Anolis sagrei: one gene and its partners. The protein of the gene in region 1 interacts with the protein of each later gene in a pairwise test. Links are inferred from orthologs where the notes say so. Each region holds a gene or a part of one and is shown in the gene's direction. Other genes may lie near its edges. The genes, in order: IMMT, DISC1 and MRPL44.

What was found.
Region 2: the proteins of IMMT (region 1) and DISC1 interact in binary tests that used the Homo sapiens proteins (3 or more experiments, as listed by UniProt). The link is inferred for Anolis sagrei from reciprocal best matches to the Homo sapiens genes IMMT and DISC1.
Region 3: the proteins of IMMT (region 1) and MRPL44 interact in a two-hybrid assay, tested with the Homo sapiens proteins (2 studies listed by BioGRID and IntAct). The link is inferred for Anolis sagrei from reciprocal best matches to the Homo sapiens genes IMMT and MRPL44.

What each region holds. Positions count from the first base shown.
Region 1 is NC_090026.1:52,322,414-52,330,659, reverse strand, and holds the start of IMMT (MICOS complex subunit MIC60), read left to right. Parts: upstream 1-3,522; 5' UTR 3,523-3,616; coding exon 3,617-3,658; intron 3,659-8,246. Other genes in the region: MRPL35 (large ribosomal subunit protein bL35m), read right to left, coding at 24-198, 3,229-3,262. UniProt on the Homo sapiens protein: Component of the MICOS complex, a large protein complex of the mitochondrial inner membrane that plays crucial roles in the maintenance of crista junctions, inner membrane architecture, and formation of contact sites to the outer membrane.
Region 2 is NC_090021.1:60,760,333-60,768,578, reverse strand, and holds the start of DISC1 (disrupted in schizophrenia 1 protein), read left to right. Parts: upstream 1-3,849; 5' UTR 3,850-3,922; coding exon 3,923-3,974; intron 3,975-8,246. UniProt on the Homo sapiens protein: Involved in the regulation of multiple aspects of embryonic and adult neurogenesis. Required for neural progenitor proliferation in the ventrical/subventrical zone during embryonic brain development and in the adult dentate gyrus of the hippocampus.
Region 3 is NC_090023.1:235,577,134-235,585,379, forward strand, and holds the start of MRPL44 (large ribosomal subunit protein mL44), read left to right. Parts: upstream 1-3,268; 5' UTR 3,269-3,299; coding exon 3,300-3,439; intron 3,440-6,708; coding exon 6,709-7,177; intron 7,178-8,243; coding exon 8,244-8,246. UniProt on the Homo sapiens protein: Component of the 39S subunit of mitochondrial ribosome. May have a function in the assembly/stability of nascent mitochondrial polypeptides exiting the ribosome.

The sequences.
Region 1 (8,246 bases):
AAACATTTAATAGGTATGCTTACCTATTTACTATGGAGACTGGATGCCCAAAGGAAGTACTGCCAAAAGACAGAAGAGGTCTTGTGAAAGTGACTGTTGACCCCTGCCCATGAAATAAAGACAGTCGGGAAATGGAGCTGATACTGCAAGTACCATGATAGGCAGAAGGGGCTAAAGAAGAGAAGGATCGTAAAATACCTAAGGAAAAGAAAACACAGTAAGATACAACAAAGGCACCAAAGGCAGATACAGCTTCTCCTTGTGTGGCCTTGTTAGGAAACATTGGATTTGTTTGATTAGAGTGTCAGAATGTATTACAATTTTGGTTTTACTGGAACTAGCAATCATCCTGGGACTTGCTCCTCAATTACCTTCACTCATCTTCATTCAGTAGATCAATATAAGCAATCACTATCCTGCGTAGCCTTAGGCCGCTTCTACAAAGCTGTATAAAATCCAGATTACCTGTTTTGAACTGGATTATATGGCAATGTACATTCAGATAATCCAGTTCAAAGCACATAATGTAGATTATCTGCCTTGAAATTCTGGATTATATGGTAGTGTAGAAAGGCCCTTACATTTGAATCCAGGGCCCTTCCACACAGCTCTATATCCCAGAATATCAAGGCAGAAAATCCCACATTATCTGCTTTGAACTGGGTTATCTGAGCCCTACACCACTGGAGAAATTACACTGCTTAGCCGGTATTCCCCACCTGACATCCACTGGGAAGTAGCAGCCAATAGTGAAAGGACCAAGGCAGAGACATCTCCAACTCATCCCCTGTTTGGGTATCAGCCAGCACGTCAACGACTTAAATCAAGAAATAGTTTTCTAAGATCTACAGAGACACTCGCTGGAACACCTCAGCAAGCAAGAGTCCAAAAGTGACAGGCTCAAACCCAGAACCTCAATCCGTGGGTGATACCAGATGAGAGACTCCCCCCTGGGCACACAGAGGACTGGGCAACTTGGAAGGCGCTGAACAGACTGCGCTCTGGCACCACGAGATGCAGAGCCAACCTTCAGAAATGGGGCCACAAAGTGGAATCCTCGACATGCGAGTGCGGAGAAGAACAAACCACTGACCACCTGCTGCAATGCAACCTGAGCCCTTCCACATGCACAATGGAGGACCTTCTTGCAGCAACACCAGAAGCACTCCAAGTGGCCAGATACTGGTCAAAGGACATTTAATCAACTACCAAACTCACAAATTTTGTATTTTGTCTGTTTGTTTGCTTTGTTCTGTTAGAAATGTAATATAATCAACTGGTTGCACTGACACGATAAATAAATAATCTCCCCAAGGGACTCTGTGTGGCTTACATGAGGCCAAGCCTGCAGTGCATCAATAAACAAAAGCAATAACAAAAACAATCAATACAATACAATTAATATAAATCACATAAACAAATTAAACAATAAACAGTAAACAGTAACACACAAGCATTTAAAAACCTATGGCCGGGCCAAATGTAATAGTTAAAATTTTGAAAAATAATGCTGGGCATGAACAAAATAATGCTGGGTATGAAAAATAATGCTGAAATGTTTAGCCTGAAGAAGAGAAGGCTGAGAGGAGACATGACAGCCATGTATAAATACGTGAGAGGAAGCCACAGGGAGGAGGGAGCAAGCTTGTTTTCTGCTTCCTTGGAGACTAGGACACGGAACAATGGCTTCAAACTACAAGAAAGGAGATTCCATCTGAACATGAGGAAGAACTTCCTGACTGTGAGAGCCGTTCAGAAGTGGAACTCTCTGCCCCAGAGTGTGGTGTTTAAAAGCTTCTTTGGAAGCTGTTTAAAAGCTTCTTTGGAAGCTTTTAAACAGAGGCTGGATGGCCATCTGTCAGGTGTGCTTTGAATGCAATATTCCTGCTTCTCGGCAGGGGGTTGGACTGGATGGCCCATGAAGTCTCTTCCAAGTCTTTGATTCTATGATTCTAAGGTAGGATATAACTGGTGTAGAGTTTTCAAAGAGAGCTGAGGGAACGCAGTCAATCCTAAATCAGTGGCGAAGTGCATTTTGAGGGCATATTGGTGAGAGTTTTCCTTATTCTGGGAAGGCACACTGGAACAACCACGTTTTCAGGCTCCTCTTAGAGCCGTAGCAAATTAGGATTTTGCGAGAGCAAAGTAAGCCAGCACCAGCGATGCTCCGCCTCTTTCTCCGCCTATTTCCCTTTGCTAGGGCAGCGTTGCGAGCAAACTACAGGAAGCTTGTGCTCGGGCTTGCTTCGAAGCCCTGCCTTTTTTCCCCCGAGGCTGCTCTCTCTCTTGCTAGCGTGCCTGTTTTCCATTGCAGAGGGCAGGGATGCGAGCGTACGCTCACAGTTGAATTCTGCCAACTGCGAGAGTACACTCGCATCGCTTCTCTAGCAAGGGAAAACAGGCACACTAGCAAGAGAGAGAGCAGCCTGGGGGGGGGGGGGGGAGCGAGCTCTTCGGAGCGAGCTCGAGCACAAGCTCGCTCTCGCTTCCAGTAGTTTGCTACGGCTCTTAAAGACTGCTAGAGTTGGGGCATGGCTGATATCCTTGGGAAGTGAGTTCCAGAGGCGGGGGGCCATCACCGAGAAGGCCCTCCATAACAGTTCTGCCTTATTCCCTCTCAGGAATCTTCCACACAGCCATATAACACAGATAATCAAGGCAGAAAATCCCCTATATCCCAGGATATGATCCCAGTTTTTCTGTTTATACCGGATTATTTATCAGTGGGGACATATGATCCAGTTTAAGGCAGAAAACCTGGTATCAGATCCTGGGATATAGGGCCTGTCTGGAAGATCCTGGATTATTTGATCGCCTCCCACACAGCCATATAATTCAGAACATCAGTGGCGCAGTGGGTTAAACCCCTGTGCGGGCAGGACTGAAGACCCGACAGGTCGCAGGTTTGAATCCGGGGAGAGGCGGATGAGCTCCCTCTATCAGCTCCAGCTCCTCATGCGGGAACATGAGAGAAGCCTCCCACAAGGATGATAAAAACATCAAAGTCATCCGGGCGTCCCTTGGGCAACGTCCTTGCAGACGGCCAATTATCTCACACCAGAAGTGACTTGCAGTTTCTCAAGTCACTCCTGACACGACAGAAAAAAAAAGAACATCAAGGCATAAAATCCCACAATATCTGTTTTGAACCGGGTTTTCTGAGTCCAAACTGCTATATATCCCAGTTCAAAGCAGATAATGTGGTACTTTGGGCCGTCGGTCTCTGACCTGAGAACCTCCGCAACGCTCCGACGGCCGCCATCTTCCTTTTTCAGTTCTTCCCGCCCACCTTTTCTTTTCGCTACGGCAGCCGGCGAGGGTCAAAATGCAGCCAAAAACGGAAGAGGGTGCAAATAGATTACTCTTTCCCGTTTCCTCGTTCTAGGTTTCCTTGTGCGGATTGGCAGCCTCGATTTGCTGTCGTAGGCACAGCGGATTATTTGCATACGCACCTTCTTTCTTTCCTGATTGGTGGACACAAGCTCCGCCTCTCGGGGCGGGGGCAGCGGTTGCGCGCTGAGGGGAGGAGGGGGGAGAAGGCGGCGGCGGCGGCCTATGACGAGCTGAGGGTCGAGCTCCTCTTGGTCTCCTTCCTTCCTTCAGCCGAGGAGAGACCATGCTGCGGGCCTGTCAGCGCGCGGGGAGCACCGCGGCTCAGGTGAGGCCTGGAGGGACCGCCGCGGAGGGTGAGGCGGACAAGGGTGGGCGGCGGAGCGGGGGAAGGGCCCTCCCCCTGAGGGGAGAAGCGGGAAGGGGCGCCTCGCGCGCGGTGGCTTTTTTCAAGGCAGCCTCCAAGTCCCGTCATGCCTTGCGGGGAGGGATGTCGCCTCGCGGAGCCTCCCCAGCCTGGTGGTGTGTTTGTTGTTTTTTTCTCGCGAGGGCGGGGTCGCCCTTGTGAGTGGTCAATTACTCGTGAGAACGCCTCAGTCACGCGTTCGTTAAGGGTCACCGGAAGAAGAAGGGCAGCCGGCGGGCTCCTTGGTGTCACCTCTAAAGCGGAGGAAGAGCACGCCTTTCCCTCTGCCTCTTGGTTCTCGCGTGAGGGAGCTGGGCAGGCCCCAAACAACCCTCTGGTTGCAGGGCCCTTCCAGCCAGGCCCTATATCTCAGGAACCGCTCCCAAGTTTTCTGTTTATCCAAGGCCCCGTCCACACAACCTTGTGTCCCAGAATATGAAGTGGTTTCCAAGCACTTACCATTTACTCTGGACCAGTGTTTCTCAACCTTCCTAATGCTTCTTAATACAGTTCCTCATAATAATAATAATAATAATAATAATCCCTGATTTCCGTGTTTCTCAACTTAGGGGTCCGGACCCCTGGGGGGGGGGTCATGAGAGGGTGTCAGAGGGGTCACCAAAGACCATCAGAAACCACAGTATTTTCTGTTGGTCATGGGGGTTCTGTATGGGAAGTTTGGCCCAATCTATCACTGCTCTTATTGTAGGTGAACTATAAATCCCATCAACTACCACTCCCAAATGTCAAGGTCTATTTCCCCCAAACTTTGCCGGTGTTCACATTTGGGCATAAACGACTCCGGCCCTGTTTACCTCTCCGAACATATTCTCCCTTACAAACCATCAAGATTATTAAGATCGTCTGGAGAGGCCCTGCTCTCGGTCCCACTGGCCGCACAGGTCCGCCTGGTGGGGACGAGGGACAGGGCCTTCTCAGTGGTGGCCCCGCGACTCTGGAACTCTCTCCCACCGGAGGTCAGAACCGCCCCATCTATCCTGACATTTAGGAAACGGGTGAAGACGTGGTTGTGGAGACAGGCTTTTGATGAATGAGACAACACCCTAGGATTTTGGATGGAAGATGATGTATATTTGATTTTGATATGACGATTGACCACCGTAGTTTTAAATATATTGTTATTTTAAATGTGTTACTGTAATTGTGAACTATGATATTTTACTGATTGTATGTGTTTTTATGGTTGGAAACCGGGCTGAGTCCCTCAATGAGGTGAGAAGGTCGGTATACAAAACTTTGAAATAAAATAAAATAAATAAATAAATATTGAGTATTCGTGCCAAGTTTGGTCTATCTCCATCATTGTTTGAGTCCACAGTTCTCTCTGGATGTAGGTGAACTACAACTCCAAAACCAAAGGACACTGCCCACCAAACCCTTCCAGTATTTTCTGTTGGTTGTAGGAGAACTGTGTGCCAAGTTTGGTTCAATTCCATTGTTGGTGGGGTTCAGAATGCTCTTTGATTGTAGGTGAACTATAAATCCCAGCAACTACAACTCCCAAATGACAAAATCATTTTTTTTAGTGAAAGACATACATTGGGTTGTTAGGTGTCTTGTGTCCAAATTTGGTGTCAATTCCCCCAGTGGTTTTTGAGTTCTGTGAATATCACAAACGAACATTACATTTTTATTTATATAGATTATAGTGTAACTATCTGATATGCAGGATGTATTTCCATTCATTAGACCAAATTTAGCACAAATACCCAATACACCCAAATTTTAGTACTGGTGGGGAGGTTGGGTGGGATTGATTTGGTCCTTTGGGAGTTGTAGTCACTAGGATTTATAGTTCATCTACAATCAAAGAGCATTCTGAACTCCATCAACAATGGAATTGAACCAAACTTGGCACACAGAACTCCCATGACCAACAGAAAATACTGGAAGGGTTTGGTGGGCATTGACCTTGAGTTTTGGAGTTGTAGTTCACTTATATCCATAGAGCACTGTGGACTCAAATAAATAATGAATCTGGACCAAATTTGGCACGGATACGCAATATGCCCAAACGTGAACACTTGTGGAGTTTGGGGAAAATAGACCTTGACATTTGGAAGTGGTAGTTGCTGGGATTTATAGTTCACCTACAATCAAAGAGCATTCTGAACCCCACCAACGATAGAATTGGGCCAAACTTTTCACACAGAATCCCCATGTCCAATGAAAATACTGTGTTTTCTTATGGTCTTTGGCGACCCCCCTGACACCCCCTTGCGACCCTCCCAGGGGTCCCGACCCCCAGGTTGAGAAACGGTGCTTTAGTGGAATATAACTTCTTGAGAAAATGAATTTTGATAGGCCCGGGGTTAGTTTTCTGCTCTGACTCCTTCATGAGGTTGGTTGGAGTGCCAAATAGGGCCCCAAGGAAACAAAAATAGCAATGGCTAGATATCTTTTGGTTTTGAAAAAACGTTTTTGAAACATTGAACAGAGCAGGGACCCACCCACCTCTTTTTCTGGCCTTCCTTTTTAAAATGTTATTCCCAGTGGGCTTGAAAAAGAGACTGCATTTTTTTACTAGAAAAAGCATGATCTGAGGGAGTCAAGAAAATTTGAGGACCATACTTCTGAAACCCTGATATATAGGTCTGTTCTGTAAGAATGAAATTATGTGTCTCTGTGTGTATGAGTCAGCATGTTTAGCTTGAGTGTTAGGTCCCTTCCACATAGCCCTATATCCCATGACATGATCCCAGATTATCTATTTTAAAACTGAATTATATAGGTATCCACTGCCAGATAATCTGGGACAAGAAGATAATCTGGGATCAGATCCTGGGATATAGGGCTATGTGGAAGGGGCCTTAACCTACCACTATTATGACCAGGGTGTGAATCCCATGAAAACCCACTGTATAATTTTGGGCAAATCACTATCTCAGGGCCCTTCCACACAGGCCTATATCCCAGAATATCAAGGCGGAATATCTCACAATATCTCCTTTGAACTAGGGCCCTTCCACATAGCCCTATATCTCAGAATATCAAGGCAGAAAATCCCACATTATCTGAGTGTGGACTCAGATAGCCCAGTTCAAAGCGGACATAGTGGGATTTTCTGCCTTGATAGTCTGGGATATAGGGCTGTGTGGAGGGGTCCTGGGCTATCTGAGTCCACACTGCCATATATTCCAGTTCAAAGCAGATATAGTGGGATTTTCTGCCTTAATATTCTGGGATATAGGGCTGTATGGAAGGATCCTCAGCCGCAGAAGAAGGCAAAAGCAAACCAGTTCTGACATATATTGCTCAGAAAACCCTGTGATATGCTACCATTAGGGTTTCCATAAGTTGCAAACAACTTGAAGGCACACAACAGCAATATACACATACTTGGAAGTAATTATTTCTGAAGTCTGGGGGACTTCTGAGCACAACATCAATATGAGTGTATCCTCACTGTGTTAATTATTTTGGATTTCTGAAGAAAGATTAAATTTAAATTATTTTGGTTGTGATATCTTAAATTACATCAATTTGACTTTGTTTATGCTGTTCCTCTGGAAAGTTTGAAAGAGAAAAACCAACATTTCTGCTAGAAACCCAATTATTTGCTTGTTAATATGCCCACATTCTGACACAGATTGAAAGTGCAATTCTGTGCACGTTTCCTTATAATTAAATAATAATAATAATAATAATAATAATAATAAATGCCACTGCCTTTACTAGTGGTTTTTACTACTTCCTGTAAATTCAAAATAATTGAGAATCTATTTAAAACTAATACATAATTCTCAAATGTTTATAACATATGTTATATTGAAAATAAATTTATTATATGGATTATAATATGTTGTATTGATCTGCATGCTGGACTTATTCTCCAGTAGGCTAGAAGCTGTATCCCCACCAGCTATGGAAACTGGGTAATGCTGTGCAAGTCATACCCTCATAGCCTAAGAGGAAGACGATGACAAAACATTGTCAGAATAAAGTCTGCAAAGAAATTCATATAATGAGGTTGCCATCAGTTGGAACTGACTTGAATGCACAGAACTGTAACAAATGGATCTTGTACTGGAAAGTGTTCAGTAGAAGTGTGGAGAGTGAATGGAGAAATGAAGACTTCAAATACATCTCAACATGCAGAGAATATAGTGCTGTCTCAGACTTTTTTCTTGAGCCTGAAAAAGCAAGATATTAAATAACAATTTAGCATATATACTAAATTACATACTTCAAAAACCTGTTACAGTCTGTTTCTTAAAACGCCCAAGCTTTGAGAGTAAAAGCTAAAGTTTTGGATGCATGTTCATTTGGCATTTTTCAGTGTTTCTAAATTATGGAAAATCTAAGTTTATGTTTCTAAATCATGGAAAATCTGAGTTTAAGGCCTGTTATAAAATTCAGACTTCTAAAGAAAGCTACTTGTGGTTTTGACATATTGCTTAATAAAAAGTTTGGGCATCTCCCCTTTTCCTTAGAAAATCAGAGATATTCAAACGGTTTATAGTTAGAACAGAATTACAATCTTCACTCA
Region 2 (8,246 bases), on another chromosome or scaffold:
CCGGCCACATGACCTTGAAGGTGTCTACAGAAAACATCGGCTCTTCGACTTAGAAGTAAAGATGAGCACCACCCCCCAGAGTCAGACACGACTAGACTTAACCTTCACCTTAAGAAGTCAAAATGCAAGTTGCATATTTGGATCGATATCTTTTTTCTGACTTTAGGAAACATGGACTATTTTTATTGCAACTGGTGGTCCACATACCACAGGTTAGGAACCACTGCCCTAGACGGTCAGGTCCATGCTATTTGGCTGACCACATCTCCTTGTACGAATCTGCTCGGGCACTGAGATCTTCAGGAGAGGCTCTTCTCTCGGTCCCACCTTCATCTCAAGCTCAGTTGGTGGGAACAAGAGAGAGGGCCTTCCTTCCCCTCGACTCTGGACCTCTCTACCCAGGGAAGCCAGAATGGCCCCTTGCCTGCTGTCCTTCCGGTGGCAAGCTAAAACCTTTTTATTCCTGCAGGCTTTTAAAGATAAAAGTCTTTAAGATCTAGTAAGGGGATGCTGTGGTTTTTTTGATGTTTTTAACTATGAATTTTTTTAGTGGCATATGTGTTTAATTCTACTTTAATGCTCACATTTTTTTATATTTTAAATTGTATACTAATGCTTTTATGTCAAGCCACTTTGCATCCCCTTTGGGGAGATAAAGAGGGGAATAATAATAATAGCTTCTGATAGAGAAGATGTTGTTGTTCCTGATGGCATGCTTGTCTTTAAAAGAGTTGGGACAAGTTCTATGATGTCATGACATTCAGGCATCACTGAGTGTTTTCTTTTTGTTCATTAATTTTTGAGAGGCAACCACTGCATTTAATTTCAGTTACAATAACTATGCATTCTACATTACAAACAATACAATAAACAAATAACAAAAAGGCAATACTTGCAAAGCAAGAGAGAGAGAGAGAGAGAGAGAGAGGCAACCACTCAGTTACAATAACTATGCTTTCTACATGTATAGACTATGTAGGATTATGACTGTATTAAACAGACACAATGCTGATGTCACCTAGCATTTTAGGACTATTAACCGTTTAGTAAGATAAAGCCATTATGGCTCCAGAATGGATGAAATAAGGTGAAGCTTAAAGTATTATTGGAAAATGCAGTATGTGTTGAGGTTTTTAAGTAACTGTCTTCAAATCAACTCCCATCTTATGACAATTATGCTATATTGTTTTCTTTGCAAGATTTGCCTTAGTGCTCATGATGGAAAGAGTTCAACTTGTCCAAGTGTGCCTGTATTTTTCCATGGGTAAGGGGTCCCCTGGAGATCTAGCTTGAGAGTTGAACCACTTCATGACAGTGGCTCTTTTGGAATCGATATTATTGTTGTTAACTGCCATCAAACCCCATGAACGATGAACCTCCAAGTTACCCTGCTCAGATCTTGCAGACTCAGAGTCATGGCTTCCTTGATTGAGCCCACCCATCTGGAATTGTAGTCCTCCTCTTTTCCTGCTGCCTTCTACCTCACCAAGCACAATTGCCTTTTCTAGTGAGTCATGTCTTCTCAAAATATGGCCAACATCTCGGTTTAGCCATGTTGGCTTCTAGGGAGAGTTCAGACTTGATTTGCTCTAGGACCCATTTATTGCTTTTTATAGCAATCCACAGTATCCAAACTCTTCTCAAGCACCACATTTCAAATGAGTAGAATATCTTCCTATCAGATTTCTTTACTATCCAGCTTTTGCAACATACATAGAAATGGTTTTCACAGGTCTGATAGCATTCCCTGAAGTCAATGAGTCAGATTAAGGACTTGGTTTTTTTCTTCTTCTAAGAAGTCAATTTGAACATATTTACTTCTCTTCCAAATAACAATCCTCTCCTTCTGTAAAGACAGAAGTGCCCTTTGGGTGCTTTGAGAACTCATTGATACATGCATGTTTTCCCACTTGAGTCTCCAAACAATAGAGAATCAAGTGATGTACGTGTGTGAGAGAACTTCCGGTTAAGCCTGTTATAGTGAATACAAGGCAGCCTAAGAGGAAAACAGTCTTGATTGTTTTGCCAAGCATAAAACTCTGTTACATACTCTCAGTATAAAGACTTAATTCCTAGGGAGTAGCACTTAATAATAAGTGTGGTTGAGCATGTCCCCAGAAATTTCCCATAACGCTAATTATAACCATCATTGTACAATGGGGATTAAAATCTTGCAGGATCCAGGAATCCTGGTGACATAAAAACTTGCTGCATCCACAAAGAAAATTGCACTCCTTATACAGAATGGTTTTGCATAATAGTCATATCTAGCTGACATCAGCTAAGCAGAGTCGTGCTTGTAGGTCTGTTGTGCATATGGTATAAGAGTGATCACTTGTGGCCAGGCATGTAGCTGGGGGGGGGGGGGGCTTGAGGGGCTTCAGCCCCCCCCCCCCCGAAATTCTCATGGTGGTTCGCGAAAAGGCCTTACTGGTGCATTATTTAAACTGTTGTTTATTCATATCATGATCTGATCACCATTCTCAATATATCCCATATGCATGGGGGTATTGGGGTAATGATACAAAAGGTTTGCTAGGTTAGACCCTCTTTCACTCAGACTCAGCCCCCCCCCGAAACTCAGCCCCCCCGAACCCCCCCCCCCAAAAATCACCCTCCCCCCGAAACGAAATCCTGGCTACGGGCCTGCTTGTGGCCGAGTATTACTGTCTCCCATAAATGATGGTGAAGACCTATTCTTCATCCACGTGGTGTTTCACGTTGACATAGATTTCCAGATGGAAGGCAGTCACAACAGAGATTTGTGTGGTGGCACATTTCTGTGTTTTTGCCTGCCACTTTTGGATTCTTCCTTGCTGGGGTGTTCCTGCGAGTATCTTTGTAGATCTTAGGAAGCTGTTTCTTGATTTAAGACGTTGGCATGCTTGCTGATATCTGGACAGAACATGGGCCGGAAATGTCAATGCCTTGGTCCTTTCATTAATGGCCACTACTTCCCGATGGATGCAGGGAAACACTATAATTTCTGCAGTGGTGTATGGTGTAGACACCCTGTAATAATGCGGCATGTCTCATTAAGAGCCACACCCACTGTTTTAGCATGGCGAGATGAGTTCCACATTGGGCATAGATATTCAGCAGCATAGCAAAGCGCAAGGGCAGATGTCTTCACTGTCTAGTTGTGATCCCCAGGTTGTGCCAGATACCAGGTGCTGCACACAATATTTGTAAGTAACGGACTGGGGAAAACCTTCTGAGTATTCCTTCATTGTCTCTGTAAGTTAGCAGGTGACTTGAAGGCACATAAAGAGAGACCGTCTGAGTAAGAATCTGAAGTAAGAATCCCCTGTTACTAGAGCGCAGCCTGTTCAGTGCCTCCAGCCCTTCCACACTTGTGTGTGCCCAGGAGGGAGTTTCTCATTCATTGTAACAGAATTGATGCAGCTTGGCATCACTTTGTACTTCATCACACTAGAGAATGAATTTGGTTGCTGCCTCCTCTTGCAGAATTCTGGGGTTTGTAGTTTAGTGATGCTGTTAAAGGCTCCTCCCTAAATTACAAAACCCAGAATTCTGCAAGAGGCAGCAACCAGATTTAAAGTGGATTCATTCTCTAGTGCGATGAGGTCCTTTAGCTGGCCAAATGCTATGGCATCCTGGGCGATGCAATTTGGCGCAAGGCCCCAGCGCTCTTTGACCGCGATGGCTGAAGAAAGACCCTGTGAAAGTGAACTGCCAACATTCCAACAGCCCTGAGCCATGCCGGTTCAAGCGGGGCCGAAGCGCATTAATTCTCTAGTGCGGATACAAGGGAGGGAAGCGCCTGGGAGGCCCGAGGGAGGGAGGGATGGAGAGAAGAGGCGTCCCTCCCGCCTCTTTCCCAAGCCAAACGGGGCGGCCTTTGGGTCCTTCCGACGGTCTGGGGGCGGGGAAGGAGGGGAGGGGAAGCAGCCACCCGAGGATGTGGAGCAGCGGCGACCCCTCGGCTTCGGGCGGCACGGAGCGAGACCCCGGTGAGGAGTGGGGGCTTCTCGGGAGGGAGCAGAAGCGGGTGGGAGTGGCGATGGCCAACAGGCAGCAAACAAAGGAGTTTCCCCGGGACGGCCGCGCGCCGCCTCTCCTTTGCCCGGGGAAGCACGAGCCCTTCTGGTAGGGGTTTCGCCGCCACCCCGGGAAGCCTCCTTCCTCTCGCGCGCCCCCTCCTGGCCGGGAGCGGGAATAGGCATCTCCACTCCCAACATTTTCAACTCACTGCTATGAACTCATGGGAGTCGTGGTTTGATGAAGCGCTCTGTGGCCAAGAAGGCTCAAGGCCTTGTAAAACTATAACGTCGGCATCCCAGAGCAGTTCAACTGCTGTTGAACTGCATTAATTCTACAGCGTAGACACACCCAAGGGCCCAGAAGATGTCCCATAGAGGTCCCTGCTGTCACAACAGGCATGGGCAAACTTGGGCCCTCCCTCCAGGGCTTTTGGACTTCCACCATTCCTAACAGCCTCAGGTCCTTTCCTGTTAGGATTGGTGGGAGTTGAAGTCCAAAAGGCCCAAGTTTGCCCATGCATAATTCAACATTGTGATATAATGCAGTTTGAAATTGCATTATATGGTCAGTATAATTCATATGGTGCAATTTTACTACATTATGTGAGGCTGGATCTTCACTGGAATTTGACAGCATTGGACTAGATTCTACACTGCCCTAAAATCCAGATCAATGCAGTTAAATTGCATTATATGGCAGCATACATCTAGCCAGTATCTACACTGACCATATACTGCAGTTTTAATTGTATTTACAGACTATATCTGTATATCTATACTCTTCTAGGCTAAAAATGTTGATAAAGGCTATCCAGGCTTGTGTTGCTGTGATAGATATTCATCGGTCATGGAATAACTTCAATCTGGGGGCACATTCATGCTATGCAATTATAGCACTATGATTCCACTTTATTGCCATGGCAACATCCCATGGAATCCTGAGATTTCTAATTTAGCTCAGATAGTCCCTGAGTTACAAACATCCAACTTACAAAAGACTCATAGTTAAGAATAGGGGTGTGACCACAGGAAGTGAGAGAAACCTACCCTTTGGAAGGGAAATTCACTCCTGGAAGAGTTATCATGGGGGAAAGGGGTCTCCACTGAAGCTTTATCACCAATCCTTGGTTCCACAACAAGCCAAAATGTTCACAGTTCAGTTATCACAGGGACAGAATGTGAGGTGAAATCTTCTGAATGGGTACAGACAGCAAAACTAACAACACAGAGTGTTCACCCTTCCCTATGCCATCCAGAGCTAACACGTATATATATTTGTTTTGTTGAAGACTTTCATGGCTGGAACCACTGGGTTGCTGTGATTTTTCCGAGGTGTATGGCCATGTTCCAGAAGCATTCTATCTTGAATGACATGAAAACAAGACATGAAACAATCAGGATCAGCTAACACCTCCCAACAAAGCATTCCCCCAGGCAGGAAGCAGCCTGGCTTTGAAGCAGCAAGTCCATTCAGTGCTAACAAACGTGGTCTATTGCAATATTCACACTTGCCTCAAACAGACAAGAGTTCTTTCTCCCACCCTGGACATTCCACAGATGTATAAACCTCACTTGCCTATTTCCAACAGATCTCACAACCTCTGAGGATGCCATGCCATAGATGTGGACAAAACATCAGGAGACAATGCTTATGGAACATAGACATACAGCCAGGAAACCTCAGAGCAACCCATATATATTTTTGGTTGGAGCTACACTTACAAATGTACCTGTTTTGATTTACATGCAAATTCAACTTAAGAACAAATCTACAGAACCCATGTTGTTTGCAACTTGGGAAGTGTCTGTATTGGTCTACATTCAGCTGCTAGTCCCAGTTTGAGCAGAAATAATGCAAACACTCTATGGCTCCCTTCCATCCCACATTATCTGTTTTGAACTGGGCTCAGGGGCGGCCCGTCCACTACGCAAAGTAAGCGGTCACAGAACACTTTTTTTTGCCAGGGGCACAGAGGCACCTCTGTAAATGCCCCTCGACTGCCACTTGAAGAGTGCCCCCTCAGCTCACAACAGCCCTAGCAGTCCGGGGGGAGCCTCGGCTTTCTTGCCTCGCTGCTGGGCGATCCTCTTCCCAAAGGGGCTGGGCCCTTGAACCTCGCCTAGCCCCTCTCGTTCCTGCTCCACCTGGCCACCGGGTGCACGAGCAGAGCCAGCGCTCAATCATTCTCCGCACTCGATCCCTTCCCCATGACCGGCTCCCTTTCCCGATCCCCCGGCGCTTCACCTGCCTCCTCTCCTCTCCCCAATCCACGGGTGGTCCAAGGGGCGGAGCCGTCGCGCCTGGCCCGCTTCGGGTCCGGAGGCGTGTCTGAAGACCCCAGCGTGCGCACCAAAAGTCACCTCTTCTCCTGACTTTCTCTTCAGCCATTGGGACCAAGAGAGAGAGAGAGAGAGCCCCTCCAGCTGGAGGTATCTCCTACCTCCGCTCCCTCCTTTGTTTTTGTGCCTACCTTCAGGAAAGGTGGGCATCTCCACCTCTCTCTCTCTCTCTCTCTCTTTCTCTCTCTCGGTCCCAATGGCTGAGGAGAAAGTCAGGAGAAGAGGTGACTTTTGGTGCACACGCCGGGGTCTTCAGGCACGCCTCCGGACCCAAAGCGGGCCAGGCAAGGGAGCAAGTGCGGCAAGTGTAGTTACTGGGATGTATAGCTCACCTACAATCAAAGAGCATTCTGAACTCCACCAATGATGGAATTGAACCAAATATGGCACACAGAACTCCCACGACAAACAGAAAATATATATCAATGGTTGGGGGGGGGGGCACCAAAATACTGTTTGCTTACCATTGAAAATTACCTAGGGCCGCCTCTGACTGGGCTATATGGCAGTGTGGACTCAGATATTCCAGTTCAAAGCAGATATTGTGGGTTATTCTGCCTTGATATTCTGGGTTATATGGCTGTGTGGAATTGCCCTTAGTTAACACCAGTGATTCAATAGGTTTATAATAGTTGGGCCTAATAGTGGAATCTAGATCACAATCCTCATTCATTACTACAGGTTAAGCAACACTCACATGTCAGTTCATTTATTCTACAGTGTAGAAGCATTTCTAGTGTCATTCAGCAGAATATTCATAAGTGTGGGATTGCAGTCTGAGTGCTTGATTATGGTTGCATCTACACTGCAGAGTTAGTGTAGCTTGATGTCACTTGAACTGCCATGGCTCAATGCTATGGACTCATGGAAGTTATAGTTTTACAACATCTTTAGCTGTTTCTGTCAAAGGGGGCTGGTGCCCCACTAAATGGCAACTCTCATGATTCCATAGCAATGAGCCATGGCAGTTAAGGTGGTGTCAAACTGCATTAATTTAGATCAGTCATGGACAAACTTTGGCTCTCCAGGTATTTTGGACTTCAACTCCCACAATTCCTAACAGCCTCAGGTCCTTAAGTGGCTGAGGGGGAAAAGGAAGGGGCCTGAGGCTGTTAGGAATTGTGGGAGTTGAAGTCCAAAGCACCTGGAGGGCCCAAGTTTGCACTCTAGGACTCTTGGAGATCAGCTGTGGAAATCTAATGGCTGCCCTTGAGCAAATCATATTCCTTCAGTCTTAGAGAAAGTTATGGGAAAACCCTTCTAACTGAAACTTTCCAATCAAACCCTGTGATAGACTTGCCATAAGTTGGCGTCAGCAACAAGGCCCCTCAAAGCTGTCATACAAGGACATAGGAAAAAGTACAGTATTACGGCACCCCTGTGTTTTCCTTTTAAAGCTAATTTCTGTTTTGGGAAAGAGGTGATTTAGAACGGATTTAGGACTGGCATATGGGAAGGGGGATGGGTATCCTGTCTGCCAAGACTATTTCCTCATTCTTCAAAATAGCGAATAGGGATGTTTGTTCAGAAAAGAGAAGGAAGTGTCTGAATTTCTACATCACATCTGGCTGGGGGATGCAAATAGGGTCTTGCTGCTTTGTCCTTATCCAAGTGATCAAAGTTATGATTATAGAACCCAGAAAAAGAGGTGAACTGAAAAACTAGAAAAGGATATAACCCTATTTGACTCCACTCTTGAGTTGCAAAAATATTTGACTGATAAAGTGTACAAAACTTTGAATATGTATTTGAATCTTGCAAAAACAGACTCTGCTGACCTTGACATATTCCTTTCTTGAGATCATCAAGAAAGACAGAGTAGTTTGGATTGTTCTTTGGGTTGTCCCTTTTTTTAAAAAAAAAATGTAGCTAGTCCAGATATTTGCTTAAAATATAGCAGGC
Region 3 (8,246 bases), on another chromosome or scaffold:
CTTGGCGTATATTTCCAGTCCAGTAAAGTTAATTATGGAAGCAGCCCAGAGACAATCCACGAGAAGGTCATACATCTATAAGTGGTCAAGGTTTTCGAAGTTTGCTCAAAATAAAGGGATAGATCCTGTTAAGGCTCCAACTTCTTTGGTGTTAGACTTTTTGGCCCATTTAGTTGATTTAGGTTTATCCTGGTCATCTTTAAAATGTTATTTAGCAGCTCTATCCTGGTTTAGGAGGAAGGCAGGCTTGCCATCGTGTTTTAGTGACCCGATGGTGTCCCAATTCATGAAGGGTTTAAAGAATCTGAGACCACCAGTAGCACCAATTGCTCCTTCATGGAGTTTAGAGATAGTACTTTCGGCCTTGGTTAAAGCCCCATTTGAACCATTGGCGACGGTAGATATGGCATATTTGACATGGAAAACAGCATTTTTGGTTGCAGTAACGTCAGCACGTAGAGCGGGAGAGCTGTGTGCCCTTAGGTGCGATGAGCCCTATATGAGAATACACAGAGATAAGGTAGTACTAAGACCTGATATATCTTTTCTACCGAAGGCGACAAGCAAGTTTCATATGTCGCAGGAAATTATATTACCAGCCTTCTTTCAAGACCCATCTTCTTCTTTAGAGAAGAACTTGCATCTGCTGGATGTACGTAGGGCTCTAGTATATTATATAGATAGAACCAAAGGTTGTAGAAAATCTACTAGGTTATTTTTAAAATACAGAGAGGATTCTGTGGGACTTCCTGTTTCCTCACAGAGGTTTTCAGCATGGATTGTCTCGACCATTAAACTTGCTTATCAAATGTGTAGGAAAGACTTACCTTTGCAGGTTAAGGCGCATTCTACAAGGGCGATGGCCACTTCGACGGCGTTTTTGAAAGGCGTTCCGCTTGACACTATTTGTAGAGCAGCCACTTGGTCCAGACCAACGACTTTTGTGAAACATTACAAGCTGGATGTGCAATCGAAGGCTGATGCAGCGTTTGGTAGAGCGGTGCTTTTTTCGGCTGTGGCATGACGCCCTCCGTCCAGGTTAGCAGCTCGCTAGTCTACCATATATGTGTAAATTGCAGTGACCACGCAGGGAAAATATGGGTTGCTTACCTGTAAACATAGTTTCCCTAGTGGTCACCTGCAAATTTACACAACCCGCCCTTCCTCCCCTCCTGATTGTCATGCCCCAGCTCTTCTGTATGCGATTTTTAGCGACGGAAGAACTGGCCGCGGTCTCTCGGGAGGGCTATTTATAGAGGAGAGGGGGGCGGGAGGGGCTGCTCCAACTGATCTTTTATCTCGTGAACTTTCCGTTGCTGCCGGCGCGAGCGCCGGATATTACCATATATGTGTAAATTTGCAGGTGACCACTAGGGAAACTATGTTTACAGGTAAGCAACCCATATTTTAAAAGTATAACCCAAACAATAGAGAAAGAGGTGTGTGTGGAGGTAGCAAGCTTGAGTTAAACTTGAAAAAAAAACTGCTCTGACATACATATATAAGCTTTGGCTACTATAGGGAAGGATTAACACTCCTGGGGTGTTTCTTTTGCTCTCTGTGCCCCTGTTCTGAAGATTTCGCCGCACTTTTGTGTCACTGTGACAACTGGATTTTGAAGAATTTGACTTTTTGTTGATACAAGGATTGGTAATAAATCTTCAGTGGAGACACGTTTTCCCCATGATAATGACTCTTTCAGGAGTGGATTTTCCTTGTGATGGGTTTGATTTCTCTCACTTCCTGTTGTCTCACCTCTGTTCTTAATTATGAGTTGTTTGTAAGTTGGGTGTTTGTAACTCAGGGACTGCCTGTATTGGCAAACAAGCTATGTGAATTCAGAATCTGATCCTATATGCTCAACAAGGACTTCTCAGATGCACCCTGTGCTTGATGTTAAGTATATTGCTTAACTTTATTTACTGCATGCTAAAATAAGTGATGTGTGAGACATGTGGCTGTACGGTTAAAATCCAGGACTTCCATTGCTTGTATTTGAAAGGGAGGAGAGGAACTTTCTTCTTTTCCAGTACAACAGAAAAGGGATGGAGTGAAAGTAGGCATCCCAAGCAAAAGGATCTATCATATCACCAATCATCTGAAGTATTCATATCTTCTGCCTGGAGGGAGTATAAGGGGCAGAGAAGGTGGGACAGTTTTTAAAGGAGACTCGGGGCCTGATTTTCCCCATAAAACATGATTAGAGCCCAATTTTCCCCATAAGACATGATAGAGGGGAAATCGGGGGGAAAGACCTAAAAAATATAAAAGGAGGCCCTTTGGCATCAACAATGGTATGTTGGGAAAAATGGCAAGACAAACTTCCATTTATTGCTAGACTACCTTCTCTTCCCATGGGGACTGGATTTGAACTGGATTAACTTCATTACGTGATGTCAAAGGCTTTCATGGCTGGAATCACTGGGTTGTAGGTTTTTCCGGGTTATATGGCCATGTTACCCTATAATCCTTACATATCAGCTGTCACATCGGCACTTTTAATCTTGTACCCATTATCCTGGCCCGGCCCACTTTTATAGTGTCTTGATGAATTGTTTATTGCTTGTTGTTTAATATTGCTTTAACTGTTTTTAATTTGTTTTAGGTGTTGTATTGTTATGTTGTGTTTTGAGGCCTTGGCCTTTGTAAGCCGCATTGAGTCCTTCGGGAGATCCTAGCGGGTACAAATAAAGTTAATAATAATAAAATAATAATGTTCTAGAGGCATTTTCTCCTGACGTTTCGCCTGCATCTATGGCAAGCACCCTCAGAGGTAGTGAAGTCTGTTGGAAGTAGGAAAATGGATTTATATATCTGTGGAATGACCAGGGTGAGACAAAGGACTCTTGTCTGCTGGAGCTAGGTGTGAATGTTTCAACTGACCACCTTAATTAGCATTTGATGGCTTGGCAGTGCCTGGGGGAATCTTTTGTGGAGAGGTGATTAGATGTGCCTGATTGTTTACATTGCTATATAATTGTCTACATTGCTATATAATCCAGTTCAAAGCAGATAATCTGGATTTTATATGGCAGTGGAGGAGGGGCCCAAATTGGACAAAATTTGATTAGCCACAATATAAAATACTACATAAACTTGTTGACATGCAGCCCTTACATATTGAAATTAAATGCCATTAGAAAGTAATAACATAAATGATCAGACAACATAAGAGAACCCTGAGAATCCTTCTCTAAGCAGAGGAAATGAATCACCCGGAACAGAAAAGCGGTGGCTCGTGTTTCCGGCCGGCGCCTGTGCGCGGGGCACCTCCTCCGTCGATCTTCTATTGCAGAGCAATGGCGTCCGCTCTGCTACGCCCGCTGCTCTCCGCGGCCACGAGGCGCCTCCCTCTCCACTCTCAGCCGCGCCGGGAGAGCAAGCGATGGGTGCGCGCTTATCTGGAGCAGCAGCGGCACCTGGAGCCCCCGCAGCGCCGGTGAGAGAGGCCTGTCGGCGGGAGAGGGCGGGAAGGGGCCTCCCGAGTGGACGGGGCTTCGGGCCTTCCCTCAGTGTTGGGCATTCAGCAGTTAAAGTGGTGCCTTATGTTAGAATGTTGAGGCTGGCCAATAAGAAACCATATGCAAATTAGTAGGTCGAAATAGCGCATGCATAGGCCAACTTGGGCCTTCCCTCCAGGTCTTTTGGACTTCAACTCCCACAATTCCTAACAGCCGGTAGGCTGTTAGGAATTGTGGGAGTTGAAGTCCAAAAGACCTGGAGGGAAGGCCCAAGTTGGCCCAGATCTTGTCACCTTCAAAATATCAGAGCTGTAAAACATGTTCTTGACTAAACAATGCATGTATTATTATTTGTTAATACTTGCTATTTATCAATGTTTTGCGTATTATGTTTCCTAATAGTGTTGTTAAAGGTAAAGGTTTTCCCTTGACCTTAATTCTAGTCGTGTCCAACTCTCTCCTTTTCTAAGCCAAAGAGCCGGCGTTGTCTGTTGACTGTTTTATTGCTATAATGATTGTTTCATTGCTTATAGATGTATGGTTTTAATTTGATTTATGTTTAATTGTAGTGTATAATTGAAATTGTTTATACTGGCATTGAATTTTGCCATTACTTATGTGTAAACTGCTTTGAGTCCCCCTTGGGGTGAGAAAAGTGGTATAGAAATACTGTAAATAAATAAACATTCACACCTAGCTCTAGCAGAGAAGAGTCCTTTGTCTCACCCTGGTCATGCCACAGATATATAAATCCTTTTGCCTAGTTCCAACAGACCTCACTACCTCTGAGGATGCTTGCCAAAGTGCAGGCGAAACGTCAGGAGAGAATGCCTCTAGACCATGGCCATACAGCCCGAAAAAACCTACAACAACCCAATAAATAAATAATTCTTCGTAGACACCTCCTAGGCCAGCATGACTGCATGGAACACTGTTACCTTCCCACAGAAGTAGTACCTATCAATCTACTCACATTTGCATGCTTTCAAACTGCTAGGTTGGCGTAAGCTGGGGCTAACAGCGGGAGCTCCCCTTGCTCCCTTGACCTTAAGTCTAGTCATGTCTGACTTTTCTGCTTTTCTAACCTGAAGAGCCCCAGCGTTGTTCATAGACATTTCCTAGGTCATGTGGCCAACATGACTGCATGGAACGCTGTTACCATTCCGCAGAAGTGGTACCTATCAATCTACTCACATTTGCATGCTTTCGAACTACTAGGTTGGCACAAGCTAGGGCTAACAGTGGAAGCTCACCCCGCTCCCTGGATTCAAACTGCCAACCTTTCAATCAGGAGCTCAGCAGTTTAACTCGCTGCGCCACCGGGAGCTCCAGTGGTTGTTACCGTATCTAAATAATTTATTTTGTGCATTTCGTACCAAGGACATGCAAATTGTGGACTTTGCAGATATTTGGTTTTTTTCTTTATTAGAATCCTGAGCTCCTCCTAGGGCTAAAATTGTACAGGTATATTAAAACTAAAAGGAGTCCAGAAGTGTTTGGAGTTCCAGAATTGCACTGAATTCACAGTCCTTACTAATATCCACACCAGCTATCCCAAACTTTTTCATTTCAGAGTATGGTTTAGGACAAGAGGGTGGGCTTTTTATAGCTGTTATAATTTAAACCAGTCATGGGCAAACTTTGGTCCTCCAGGTGTTTTGGACTTCAACTCCCACCATTCCTAACAGTCTACTTTAAACAATTGTGAATCAGACATCCATGATGATCTAATGTAGATCATAACAAGATTTGCCAGTAGATCTAGAACTCCCATCTCTCAGCATTATTATTATTAATAATAACAATAATAACTTTATTTGTATCCTGCCCCATCTCCCTAAAGGGACTCAGAGTGGCTTACATGACAACACTGTGCAAAGTGAAATACATTAAATATACACATAATTTAATTTAAAAGAATAAAACACCAAGTGGCAAAAATTACAACAAACAGGGTTAATATAGAACACATTAATTGAAATAAAATAACAATAAAACACAGTAATAAATTGTAATTAAAACAATGATTATGTTGTTGTTTCTATGGTGATCCTAGGGCAAAGCTATCACAGGTTTTTCTTGGCAAAATTTGTTCAGAGGAGGTTGCCTTGGCATTTGTTTGAAACTGAGACAGTATTGCTTCCTCGAGGTTACGCCGGGAGTTTCCATGACTGAGCGGGAATTGAAACCCTCTAGTGCTTAAACCACGATTATACCATGCTGGCTTAAGTTTGCGGCTTTTGTTACATAACACCCAACACATCCGTAATCACACGTGATCATATGCATTTATGCGCTGTACATGTAGGTACAGAAGTGCTCTTAATTCTTCTGTCTATTATGCTAATTTCAGCGATACTTCTTTCGTTTTAGGCTGAGAATATGTTGATGAAAAGAAAAAACTTAATATGGCTGTGCTGGGTGTTATGTTGAAAAAGCAGCATGTTTCTCTGTTTGAATTTCATATATGTCACAACTCCCTGTTTTCTGTCAGCTTGTTAAACATTACAGAGTTTATCCATGCAGAAAAAGAACATTTTTTGGCACATTATGACTTGAAGTAATCCAAAGTGTCATTTGAATTTGATTTTGTGGTTGTTTTAATTTCTGTTTGAAATCCTGTTTTGATTGTATTTATATGTGATTGTTTTGTGTGTAATGATTTAATATTTAATGTATTTATTTATTTATCATGTCAGAGCAAGTTGAGGGTACAGTTATACTTGCAGCATATGACTTGCAGAATGTATTTATATTTTGTTATGTTTATGTTTTGATGTGGCATCGAATTGTGCCAAGAATGAAACTGCTCTCAGTCGGGGGTGAGATAAGACGGGATAGAAATACAGTAAATAAATAAATAAATAAAATATTTATGCACTTCCGTTCTCAAAATATGTTTAATAATGAATTAACTCTTAAGGCTCTGAAAAACTGTGCTCAGCACACATTTTTTTTTGCATTCTCAGATTCTGTCAGAAATAATTAGGAATGTAGCTCTTGCTTTTTAAGTTCAAGTTTAGACTAACTGGTTAGAACAGAGTTTCTCAAACTGTGCTCCCCCAGGTGTTTTAGACTTCATGTCCCACAATTCCTAACAGCCAGTAAGTTGGCTGAGATTTCTGGGAGCTGAATTCCAAAACACGTGGAGGTGTATAGTTTGACAAACACTGAGCCAGAAGGATTCTTGGTTTCTTTCAATAGTCTATCCTGATTATTTTCTGTTTTCTCCTCTGTCATTATATAGATCTGAAAAGCCTAACTGGGATTATCATGCAGAAATACAGGCTTTTAGTCACCGGATACATGAGAAGTTTGCATTGGATCTTCTTAAAACTGCATTCGTTAATCGTTGTTATATTAAACATGAGGAGTCTAGGCGGCAAGCGTTGGGGCTAGAGAAAGAAGCCATTGCTCTTAATCTCAAGGACAACCATGAACTTTATCTGCAAGGGAACTCTTTTTCACGCTTGTACCTCACACAGTGCTTTGAAGAGGCTTATCCAAAAATGCCACCTGCTGGTATTGAGGCTCTTGTTAACTTTCTCACCAGTGAAGAATTAGTGTCCTACTTGGCTCAAAACCTGTCACTACAAGACTTTACGCTCTGTGCAGAATTTCCCGTGCCAACTAATGTGCTTCAGCAGACTTTCTTTGCTGTAATAGGAGCCTTGCTGCAAAGCAGTGGCCCTCAGAGAACAAAGCTCTTTGTCAGGGTAAGTTCTTGTACTGCAAAAAATTGTTATGCCTTGAAGAATGAGTACACATCTAAGGCTAAAGCTCTACGTGCCATAACACACAGGATATAATAAATAATGTGCCATTGTTCATTGTAGAATTCAATTTCACTGCAGCTTTCCTGTCAGCTTTGACTCCATGCATGCAGTTGAAGAAACAGAGCTGGTTGACAGAAACTTTGCCAGAGAAACCATTGCTGCTGTTTAGAAAAATAACATTTAATACAGTACTAGAGTACATTATTCTGAATATTAACATCACTCTTTTGACATTCATGTTTTACATTAAACTTGACCAATAGAGATAGAAAACAAAAAGAGGGAAGGGAGAAATTCAAACAATATAAATGAAGACTGATAAAAACCAATCATATTTCTAAAAAAAATAATGATTTTCTTTAAGTTGACATTTACAGATTACGTATAAATGTGTAGACACATGATCTTCATTTCATTGAAGAAATAATGGTGAATATTTATTTTTCCAGCCTTGGAATAAAAGTTCTTTTGTAGAAGCAAAAGCATGTGGGCTATAATAACATTGTCCCTTAGTGAAATTCCATGTCACAGGAACATAATTTAATAGAATGTATATCTACAACAGTCGAAAGATATTTCTGATCTGAAACTAATACATTTATAACACATCCAGACTTTTAATATGCAAAACTATTTAAGTTCTCAAAAATTAATATACACATATGCCTGAGTATTTGATAGAGATACTTTAAAATTAGAAGATCCCACTGCAAAATTGCAGTGTCTCTGCATCCAATTAAGTTGATAGGATATAGATGGAGCCTAAGAGTTTGTTGGTCCTCTGTCAGTCCCAACCTGATGTCTGGCTTTGTGGAATTAGTACATACGTGTGAAACATGGGATACAGTTGGATAAGTGAACTATTGAATGTTGGAATCTTACCAATTAGAATGAAAAAGAAGCATATATAGCCCAATTGCATGGATCAGTTTGAAATACCTAATATATACCATTTGATTCTACATATCGAATCAAAACACTAACATCGAAATCTTTTTATATACAGGAC